Linked DNA regions of Coturnix japonica. The protein of the gene in region 1 purifies or fractionates together with the protein of each later gene. This does not show direct contact. Links are inferred from orthologs where the notes say so. Each region holds a gene or a part of one and is shown in the gene's direction. Other genes may lie near its edges.

Evidence for each region.
Region 2: the proteins of PLEKHO2 (region 1) and CAPZB purify together in Homo sapiens (affinity purification with mass spectrometry; 3 studies listed by BioGRID and IntAct, counting the BioPlex papers as one, with this or other methods). This does not show direct contact. The link is inferred for Coturnix japonica from reciprocal best matches to the Homo sapiens genes PLEKHO2 and CAPZB.

The regions. Positions count from the first base shown.
Region 1 is NC_029525.1:16,009,736-16,014,049, forward strand, and holds the start of PLEKHO2 (pleckstrin homology domain-containing family O member 2), read left to right. Parts: upstream 1-1,399; 5' UTR 1,400-1,621; coding exon 1,622-1,630; intron 1,631-4,314.
Region 2 is NC_029536.1:4,122,441-4,126,676, reverse strand, and holds the start of CAPZB (F-actin-capping protein subunit beta), read left to right. Parts: upstream 1-1,280; 5' UTR 1,281-1,411; coding exon 1,412-1,414; intron 1,415-4,236. UniProt on the Homo sapiens protein: F-actin-capping proteins bind in a Ca(2+)-independent manner to the fast growing ends of actin filaments (barbed end) thereby blocking the exchange of subunits at these ends.

The DNA.
Region 1 (4,314 bases):
GTATTATTTTTAACAATAACTCATTCTGTGCTGCACCCAGAACTTCGGGCCCAGCCTCGCAGGGATGAGATGCATGGATGCTCACAGCTGCTCGCCAGGTCCATGCCTGCACCAAATCAGCATTTTCTGTGCCCAATTTTGCTACTTGTGAGGCTGCAGACGGTGTTTACCCAGCAAAGGGATCTCACTGGTGAGACCGGAGCCTCTGCCAAAGCCACAGCCAAGCTGATATGAAGGAGATGCAATCAGGTGTTTCTTCTCATTACTGCTAATTGCTGTTTGCGTGCTCTCAGCTCTGTCTTAGACTGGACCCTGTGCAAAGTGGAGCAAGCAGAGATACCTGTGAAAAAGTGTATTTAACCTGGAGGTATCAATGCTTTTCTTCTCCTTCTCTTCTCACCCCACTGAGAACAATGGAGACAAGGCTTGCAGAGGGAGGTAATATCTTTTTTTAGACCGACTGAAATAATTAGGAAAAAAAAACAGGCAGGCTGCAGGGTACACGAGCCCTTCAGCAGGACTGAAATAGAAGCAGAAGTCTGTGGAGCTGAATACCAGCAGAGAACAATAGCTGGAGCGTGACTAGTAGTGTTAACCAGTTCTGCCACTGAGGACCACTTTCCAGCTGTTTCCCCTGGGCATTGCCAAAAGCAAACATCATCCTGAGGACACTGCGCTGCTCCAAGGAACAGTGCCAGCCCACGGAGCCCAGGATGTGCACCAGGACTTTGAGAAGCTCAGTGCCCAAATGGTGCCTGATTGAGCATTGCACCCTGCACCCCATCCTGCTGCTCCTGGGGCACTGCTGCCCTAAACTGCCCCCTGCCTGACCCTCATGAGCCTCCACTTCCAGGGGTCCCATCCCACCGCGGGGTCTGGCCTGAATGCTGGAGACCACAGCCTGATCCTGGGGGCTGTGGTTGACCCTCAGGGACCTGTTTGACACCACCGTTCTTTGCCCCAGACCAGGGGCTCCAGGTTCACATCCCAACACTGGGTGCCCTGTCTCACCCCTACAATCCAAGTCCCACCTCCGTGGCACATTTCCCACCTTGCAGACCTTATCCCACCTCCACAGTCCATGCCTGATCCTCCAGACCCCTAAGGTGTATGTCCCATTCTCTAGACCCTGTCCCATCCCTCTGGTCCATCTCCCACCCTTTAGACACCGCTCCATCCCTACTGTCCATATGACACCCTGCAGACCCTGCCCTATAACACGCACCCTTTCCCTTGAGCGCTGCCACCCTATGTGACCCCAGAACCACATCCCAGCCTCCTCACTGACCCCGGTCCCTCCATTCCGACATCTCCCACCCTACGCTGCCCACGGGCGCGGCCTCACGGAGCTGCGGGGCCGGGGCTGGGCCAGGCGGGGGCCGGGCCAGGCGAGGCGGCGGCGGGGCCGGGGCCGGAGGAGGGGGATCCCCGCCTCCCTGGGGCCGCGCTCGCAGCTCCGGAGCTGCCGGAAACCCGGCGCTGTCTCTCGGTTTCTGTTGCTGCTGCTGTTCGGCGTGAAGTTGGTGCGGAGGCAGAGCACGGAATGTCCCCCTGCCCGGCTGCGGGACGCCGGCGGCGGCGGAGCCCCTGAGCGGGCGGCGAGGAGCGGCCGGTCCCGACCATGGAGCAAGTGAGTACAGGGACGGGTTCGGAGCTCAGCCACAGGGAGGGGCGTCGTGGCCGGTCCCAGATCGGGGGGTTCCTCTGATGCTGCCGCAGCATCCCCAGCCCAGCGGCTTGTACAACTTGCTGTGTTGGGGTGCTGCGTCCTGCTGCGTGTTGTGCTTCCAACGGGAGCCAGCTGGGTGCTGGCCGGGTGCCTGTCAGCGGCCGCCCTCCTCCTCCTCCTCCTCCTCCTCCTCCTCCTCCTCCTTTGGGGAAGGCTGTCGTGCTTTTGCACGTGGAGCTTTTCACGGCCCCGTGATGCCACAGATTTGTTGGCAAGTTGAGCGGCTCCTCTCCTCCACGCGTCTGCTCACCCGGTTATTCCTTCTTCCCTTCCACCCTACGAGGTTTTGCTGTTGATGCACGAGGAAGGGCAGGCTGCGGGCTCCGGGACATGCAGCACTGGTAGCTTGGCTTGTTCTCCCCATGCTTAACTCCCCAAATATTGTGGTGAGAATAAGGGCTTCTTCCAAAAGGGCCACAACAGCAGGAAGACCAAAAGGCAGCCCAGCGTGGTGGGGACTGAAAGTTTGTCATTATCCGCCGGCATCCATGAAATCCATAGCACAAAAGTGCTTCCAGCTGGTGGCTGCATGCAATGGGCGCTGCTGGGTTGCGGCCTGTGTGCCCTTCGTTAGCCATAAATGAGTCCTACTGGGAGTGGGCACCTGAACAGCTTCTCAGGTCTCACATGCATGTGTACGATGTCTAATATTGCTCTTGCATTGTGGAGATGTGGGAGTGCCAGCAACATGTTGGAAGTGAAGGTTGAGGGGTAAGAAAGAAGCTGAGGTCTGGGAACACAACTGGAGATGGATCTGGAGATGCATCCGTGCTGCAGTGTGGGATGGACCCGTTGCACCACTTGCTGACTAAAACACTCCTGTGCAGTGTGTGCAACTTGTGAAAGAGCCGCCATAGTCCAACTGCTGGTTTCTGCTGTTGTCAGAAGATGCAGAAAGTATGTGGTTTTGTGGGCCCCTATAACTCAGGGGAAGGAAGGCAGAAATAACTGCCTAATTGTTAAATGAAAAGCCATCCCACGTCCCTAATTTGACATCTCTGGCGAGCTGTAAAACATGAAGGTAAAGCAGAGTCCAACTCGTGCTGCACTTTTCATGCCACCATGCTATAAATCGCTCCAATGACTTGTTCTGGCTGTGGGACCAGCGCTGCTGGCTCAGGCAGTGACAGAATAACTCAGTTCTTCCCTTGGTTCTGCTGCTCTCTTGGCTGATGTCAGTGGATTTATTCTCATGGGTTTACACCAGCATCAGGCACGAATCCAGCCCGGGAACATCCCGGAATGGCTATCTTAGCATTTCTTGCCTCCAGCAGAAGGAATACCCACAGAAAGCTGAATTAACAACAACAAATCATCTCTTTGTGCTGCCCTCCAATTTTAGTCATGGAATCACAAGCAGCAAGCATGGAGCGGACACTGAGTCCTGCTCCCAGTGCTCTGCCCTGGCAAACCTCCCCTTGCTGACAGATCAAGGGGCTGCACAAGCCAGAGGCATGGGATGCCAGCACCATGGGAAGCACAATGTGGTTGGGAGAGCATCCCATGCATGTGTTCTGCCCCGTGTGTGGGTTGAAGCATCACTCCTGCTACAGACAGAGGGGGTGAGCAGTCAGGCTTCAGGCACAGATGGGGATAATTTGGCCTAGAAGTGGAAATCCTGATGAGGTTGTCCTGAGATGTCAGCTGGTAAATGCTGTGAGTGCAAGCATGAGAATAACCTCCAACCAAAGTAGTTATGAGGGTGGGTTGCTTTTTCAGCGGTAGATGTGAAATGCTGCAACTTTATAGTGAATACTTCTATTGTAAAACCACAGAGGAGAGGGTTTTCACCCTGCAGAGCAAAGAGGCCACAGATAGGCTGATTTGCTGTGTGTTTTCAGGCAGCCATTCTGCCGTCGAGAGAAAAAATAAAGATTGATCTGAACAGCAAAAAACCCCAATTTAGGAGTAACAAGGAGATGGGTGAGGAGCCACTGCTGGTGCAGCCGTGTGCAAGCAGAACTGCTAGGTGTGAGGTCAAAGCTTGTGCCCAGTTACCCAAGCATGACATCAAAAGGGATGATGCACCACCAGGTCTGTATTGGCGCAGCAGTTGATGTTTGCTGAAGGAGCAGATCGCAACTGACTGCAACTTCCTGGCAACCTAAAAAGTCAAGCTTAAAAAAAAACACAGTCCTTCTCATTTCCCGGAAAAGTTGCTGGTGAGCTGCCATCCTGTTGCGGGGTCTTGTCAAACACAGCACTGCACCATGAAATGGCTTCATTCTGCAAAGCACACCAGGGCTGGTGGCCATTTCTATGTGATTTACCTTTACCTGAGGCAGTCTGGTTGTGTTTCAGACATCGAGCCTCTTCCTGACCTTGCTGAAGGCTGGAATAAGCATTTGTACACAGCGGGTTTAATCTGTTTTGCTTCTCATCATGGGTGTAAGTTCTGTCTTTAAGGAACAGCTCACCCAAATACTATCCAAGGGTGTGTTTTCTGGGAGACTGGTGCATGAAAACAGATCTGTTAGTAAGGCTTTCCTCTGGATTTTTGGAACTTGTCTGTACTCACTTGCCCTATCTCCACTCCCTTCTGGCCACGGGAGTGTCTGGCTCTGACTCCTTGCGATGCACATGGG
Region 2 (4,236 bases), on another chromosome or scaffold:
CAGATCTACTGAATATCTCCCACTCAGAGCCTGAATTAACTTTGTTTTATATCAGCCCCTCCAAGAGCTACAACAGAAGGTAGGATGGCCAGAACTGTAGCTCCACGCAGGGAGCTTTCAACCAGCTGAGATCTCCACGCTGCAAATTGCAGCTTGCCAGGAAGAGCTTGCTCCTACATCTTCATAAACAAACAAAAGCATTCCCTGCTATAAACAAGCAAAGCAAGCAGCTGGTCCTCATTGGAAAAGACGTTACATCCATTTCACAAAGGAATCCGCAGATCTTCTTCTTCATGCAAATATTTTGGGGCAAACAAAAAGCAGCTGTTTCTGTTGCTTTATACCTATTAGCAGGGAAACAAAATCCAGGATGCTTGTATTTCTTGTAAGGAAAACATCCTCTTGGCATCGATGTTCGTTCAGATCTCAAACTGTTTAACACAGGCTGCATGAATCTGCTTTTGCTTTGTGTTCAGCAAGAGGGTAGAAACCTTTTTTGCTCATTAAGACCTAAAAGCAAAACAGCCGTTGAGGAGCTTGCATGGGTTTATAACAAAGGTTGTGAAGTTTAGAATGTATGTTTTATCTGCTCTGTGCTCCCAGCTCATGTTAATGTGCGGAACGCTGTTAAAGAAAGGAATAATGTATTGGAGTGATGAAGGCAGCCTTTAATTACTGCTGGTAGGGACCTCTGGAAGGATTGAGGGCTGGATAATAGAAGGTGCTTGTATTGCTTGAGCTGGCATCTCTTGGAAGGTTCTGCCTGGTATCTGAGAGCTACTAAAACTGAACTAAAACCCATCTGTGATAATGGCTGAGTGGAAAATAAGAGCTTGGCCTTGGATGTCACCCGCCGGGTGGATGTACCACAAAATGTCACCTCCCAGGAAAAAATGAAGCCGTTCCCTTAGAGAACGCATCAGTTCTATTACAAATGCACACAGTAATGCCGTGCTTTCACAGCATTGCATCACAGCAGGAAGCGATACATGACTGCCCTTAACAGCATTTCCAGTTTCTACAGCAAACCAAGGAAAGCAAAGTACAACCACCACCACAGCGGCGCGCCGGCGCGCTCCGGTAGGCTCCGCCCCCTGCACCTGATTGGCTGCACTTCTTCCGGTCTCCCCCCATTGGCTGCTTGGCGCTGCTCCCCCCGCCCCTCCCGCGCTTCTCTCCCGCCCCGTCCGCGCGCAGCGCTCCATACTTGGCGATGGCCGGCGAGCCGCGCTCTGATTGGTTGAGCTGTGAGGTGAGGGCGGGGCCGGCGGGGCGATGACCCGGATGTTCACTCCTAGGCAACGGCGGAAGTGGAAGGGCCGCGGCCTGCCTCGGAACGAGGGAGAGCGGAGCGGAGCGGACCGGGAGGCGCCGCCGTTGCCACCGCCCAGCGCAGCCCCGCCGAGCCGCCATGGTGAGCACCGTGCGGGATCCGCCGCTTCCAGCCCCGCAGCTGGGCCCTATCGCTTCCTTTTCCCTCCCACGGGGCGGCGGTGAGGGAGGCCCCGGCTGCGGCCTGCACCGGGGGGAGGCGGTGGGGGCAGGGCCCGCGGGGGGCGGTGGGGCAGGGCCTGGGGTAACGCAGGGTCTGGCGGCTCGAACGGAGCCGGGACTGGCGGCCGGAGCGCTGCCTCCAGCCCCGCGTCGCACCGCAGCTGTGCGGAACCAGGAACCGGCGGCGTGCGGGGCGGCCGAGCCTGCCCGGGCAGACACCGCTGCGGTGTGTGCGGCTCACACGATGAGGGTTGGAGTGTCTGGCTTCTGCAGCCGTGTAGCGCAGCCTGGCCGCGATGTGCTGGGGGGTGAGTGCACACAGAATGACCCGGGTTGGAAGGGTCCTCAAGGATCATGTAGTTCCAACCCCCCTGCCTGGCAGGGCCACCAAACATACACCTTTACTAGATCAGGTTGCCCAGGGCCCCGTCCAACCTGGTCTTGAACACCTCCAAGGACGGGGCATCCACAACCTCCCTGGGCAGCCTGTTCCAGGGCCTAACCACTCTCCTAGTGAAGAACTTCCCCCTAACATCCAACCTAAATCTTCCCTCTTTTAACTCAAGTTCACCCAAGGGACAAAACCTTCGGTTTCCCTTTGGTGCTGTGCGTGGAGGGGGTGCAGCCCCTGGGGTCTCATCTCCTATGGGCTCACCCAGCACCTAAGGGTGGAGATGTCTTGCTGTGCCCAGCCTGCCTGGCGGGGTGCCCACTGAGCCCCTGTAATACAGCGTACCTGGAGGGCTGTAATTGCTCCAGTGCTTGGTACTGCTCAGGAATTTGTGGTTTGATGTTTTTTAGGACTGTTCAAATATAGTTAGGTTCAAAATGTACCTGGTTACATGTAAAGACTGGTTTAGTAATCAATCCTTTGCTTCAACTGTAAGAATTTCAGAGGCAATATCTTATCCTTTCCTCTGGAGGCTGAAGGTCCTGGTGGTCCCAATGCTTATATGGCACAGGATGAAGATGTTTGATTTCTAGTGGAAGGTGAAGAAAGCTTATGATCAAGATTCTGTGCCTGTTGGAACAAAGCTGTGCTTGGCACCCAAGCGTGGGATTGGCGTGATGGAGCATCTAACTTCACATGTGAATGTTAGACCAAGAGCCCTGGCTGAAGTCTTTGTACACAAGACCTGCTGCAGGATTTATTAGACAGGAGGCCAACCAACTGTCCTAACTTAAAAATCCTCACAGAGAAAGAACTGAAGGAAAACAAGCAGGCTTCATGTAAAACGACAGTGGTGTTACCTGCTGCTTTTAAGGGAATGCAGAAGTATGCTGTAAGAATGATTCAGTTGAGGTGTGTGACTTCGTTACTCCTTAGGGGAGATAGAGCACAAGCCCTTTAGGAGTTTTTTGAGTGCTGTAAGCTTTTGCTGTCTTCTGATTTCTCATGTTTAGTCATGGAAAGCATTGGGTACAGGAGAAACCTGACCAGGATCTCCAGTACTGTGCTAGGCTCAGCTGTTGGGTGGACTTCAGGTAGGAACCTGTGGCAGCTGCCCCGTTATTTGTGTGTTGTGGTGGCTGTGTACACACCCGAAGGTTTGTTCACTGAGTGGGGCAAGTGGAGTGTGGTTTATGCAGGCCTACTGCAAGAAAGGTCACTGGGCTTGGTTACAGGAGACAAATGAGCTGTGGTGATGTGTTAATAAAGCCTTGCTCTTAGAATCAGCATTATGCAGACAATGCAATTCTGGCACCCAGTTTCAACTTTAGTTCCCTTCTGGTTTTTAGAGTATCCCCAGGATCTATTGCTTTTGTAGACAATACTCAAATGTAGCATGAAGGAACTAAAATAGGTCTGGCACTGACAGCTGCTGTTTTATGTGGTTCATACCAAAGCAATGTAAGATTTGTGAAACTAAACACTTTTTCATCTCCCTGAATTCTGAGTCTCTGATTGTGATTGTGTCACTCTTGAAACTCATGGCATCAGCTCAGGGAAAGTTTTCAGTGCCCACAGCACATCCTTTAGTCCTTGTACCATCTAAGAAATCCTCGTTCGTGTTATTTTGTAGAGTCCATGTTTTGTTAGCCACGTATGTGAGCTTAGATAAATGCTGTCTTAAAAGCCAAGTTCTCCAAGTAAATCAAATTGGCGGGTATTGCTGGGATAGGGAATACTGTCATTGCAGTGATGATAAATCTTTGGCTTGAGAATATTTGAACCACAAGATCTTCAGATGGGATTTCCTCATATGGTAAATATATGTGCTGATATCTTATTAGTTAACATCTGGGAATAAACCGGAATGAAAGCACAGTTTAACTCTTTTGAATTACTATTTTTAGTGCTTATTACATTAGTAGCTCAATGATTCTCTTTGGGAAAGATATGTTCTGCATTAATCAGCTGGACTTCTCTGTTGAGTTTCCCATGCAAAGGATGGCTGATGAGCTGCAGGCTGTGCATGGAGCGTTCTCCTGCCTGCCCTTTGGAGGTATGTTTGGTCACATCCAAATGGTTCCTCACTCTAATTCACACTGTAGAGCTGTCACTCAGACACTGTGCATTGTAATTTCTTTCCAATTGATTTATGTAAGGAGCTCTGAAGAGTTTGCAGTGCCCCTCCAAACCTTTGTCTCTCTTCCCCTGGTGCACAGGGTCCAAAGCAATTGCCTCCAATGTGCCCATTTTTCCTGATCCTTTGCCATTTCCAGCAAGGAAGAGGGAAAATTGCACTTAAAACCATGTGTGTGAAGGAGCAATGAATGTCTGGGCTTTATAAACCTTTT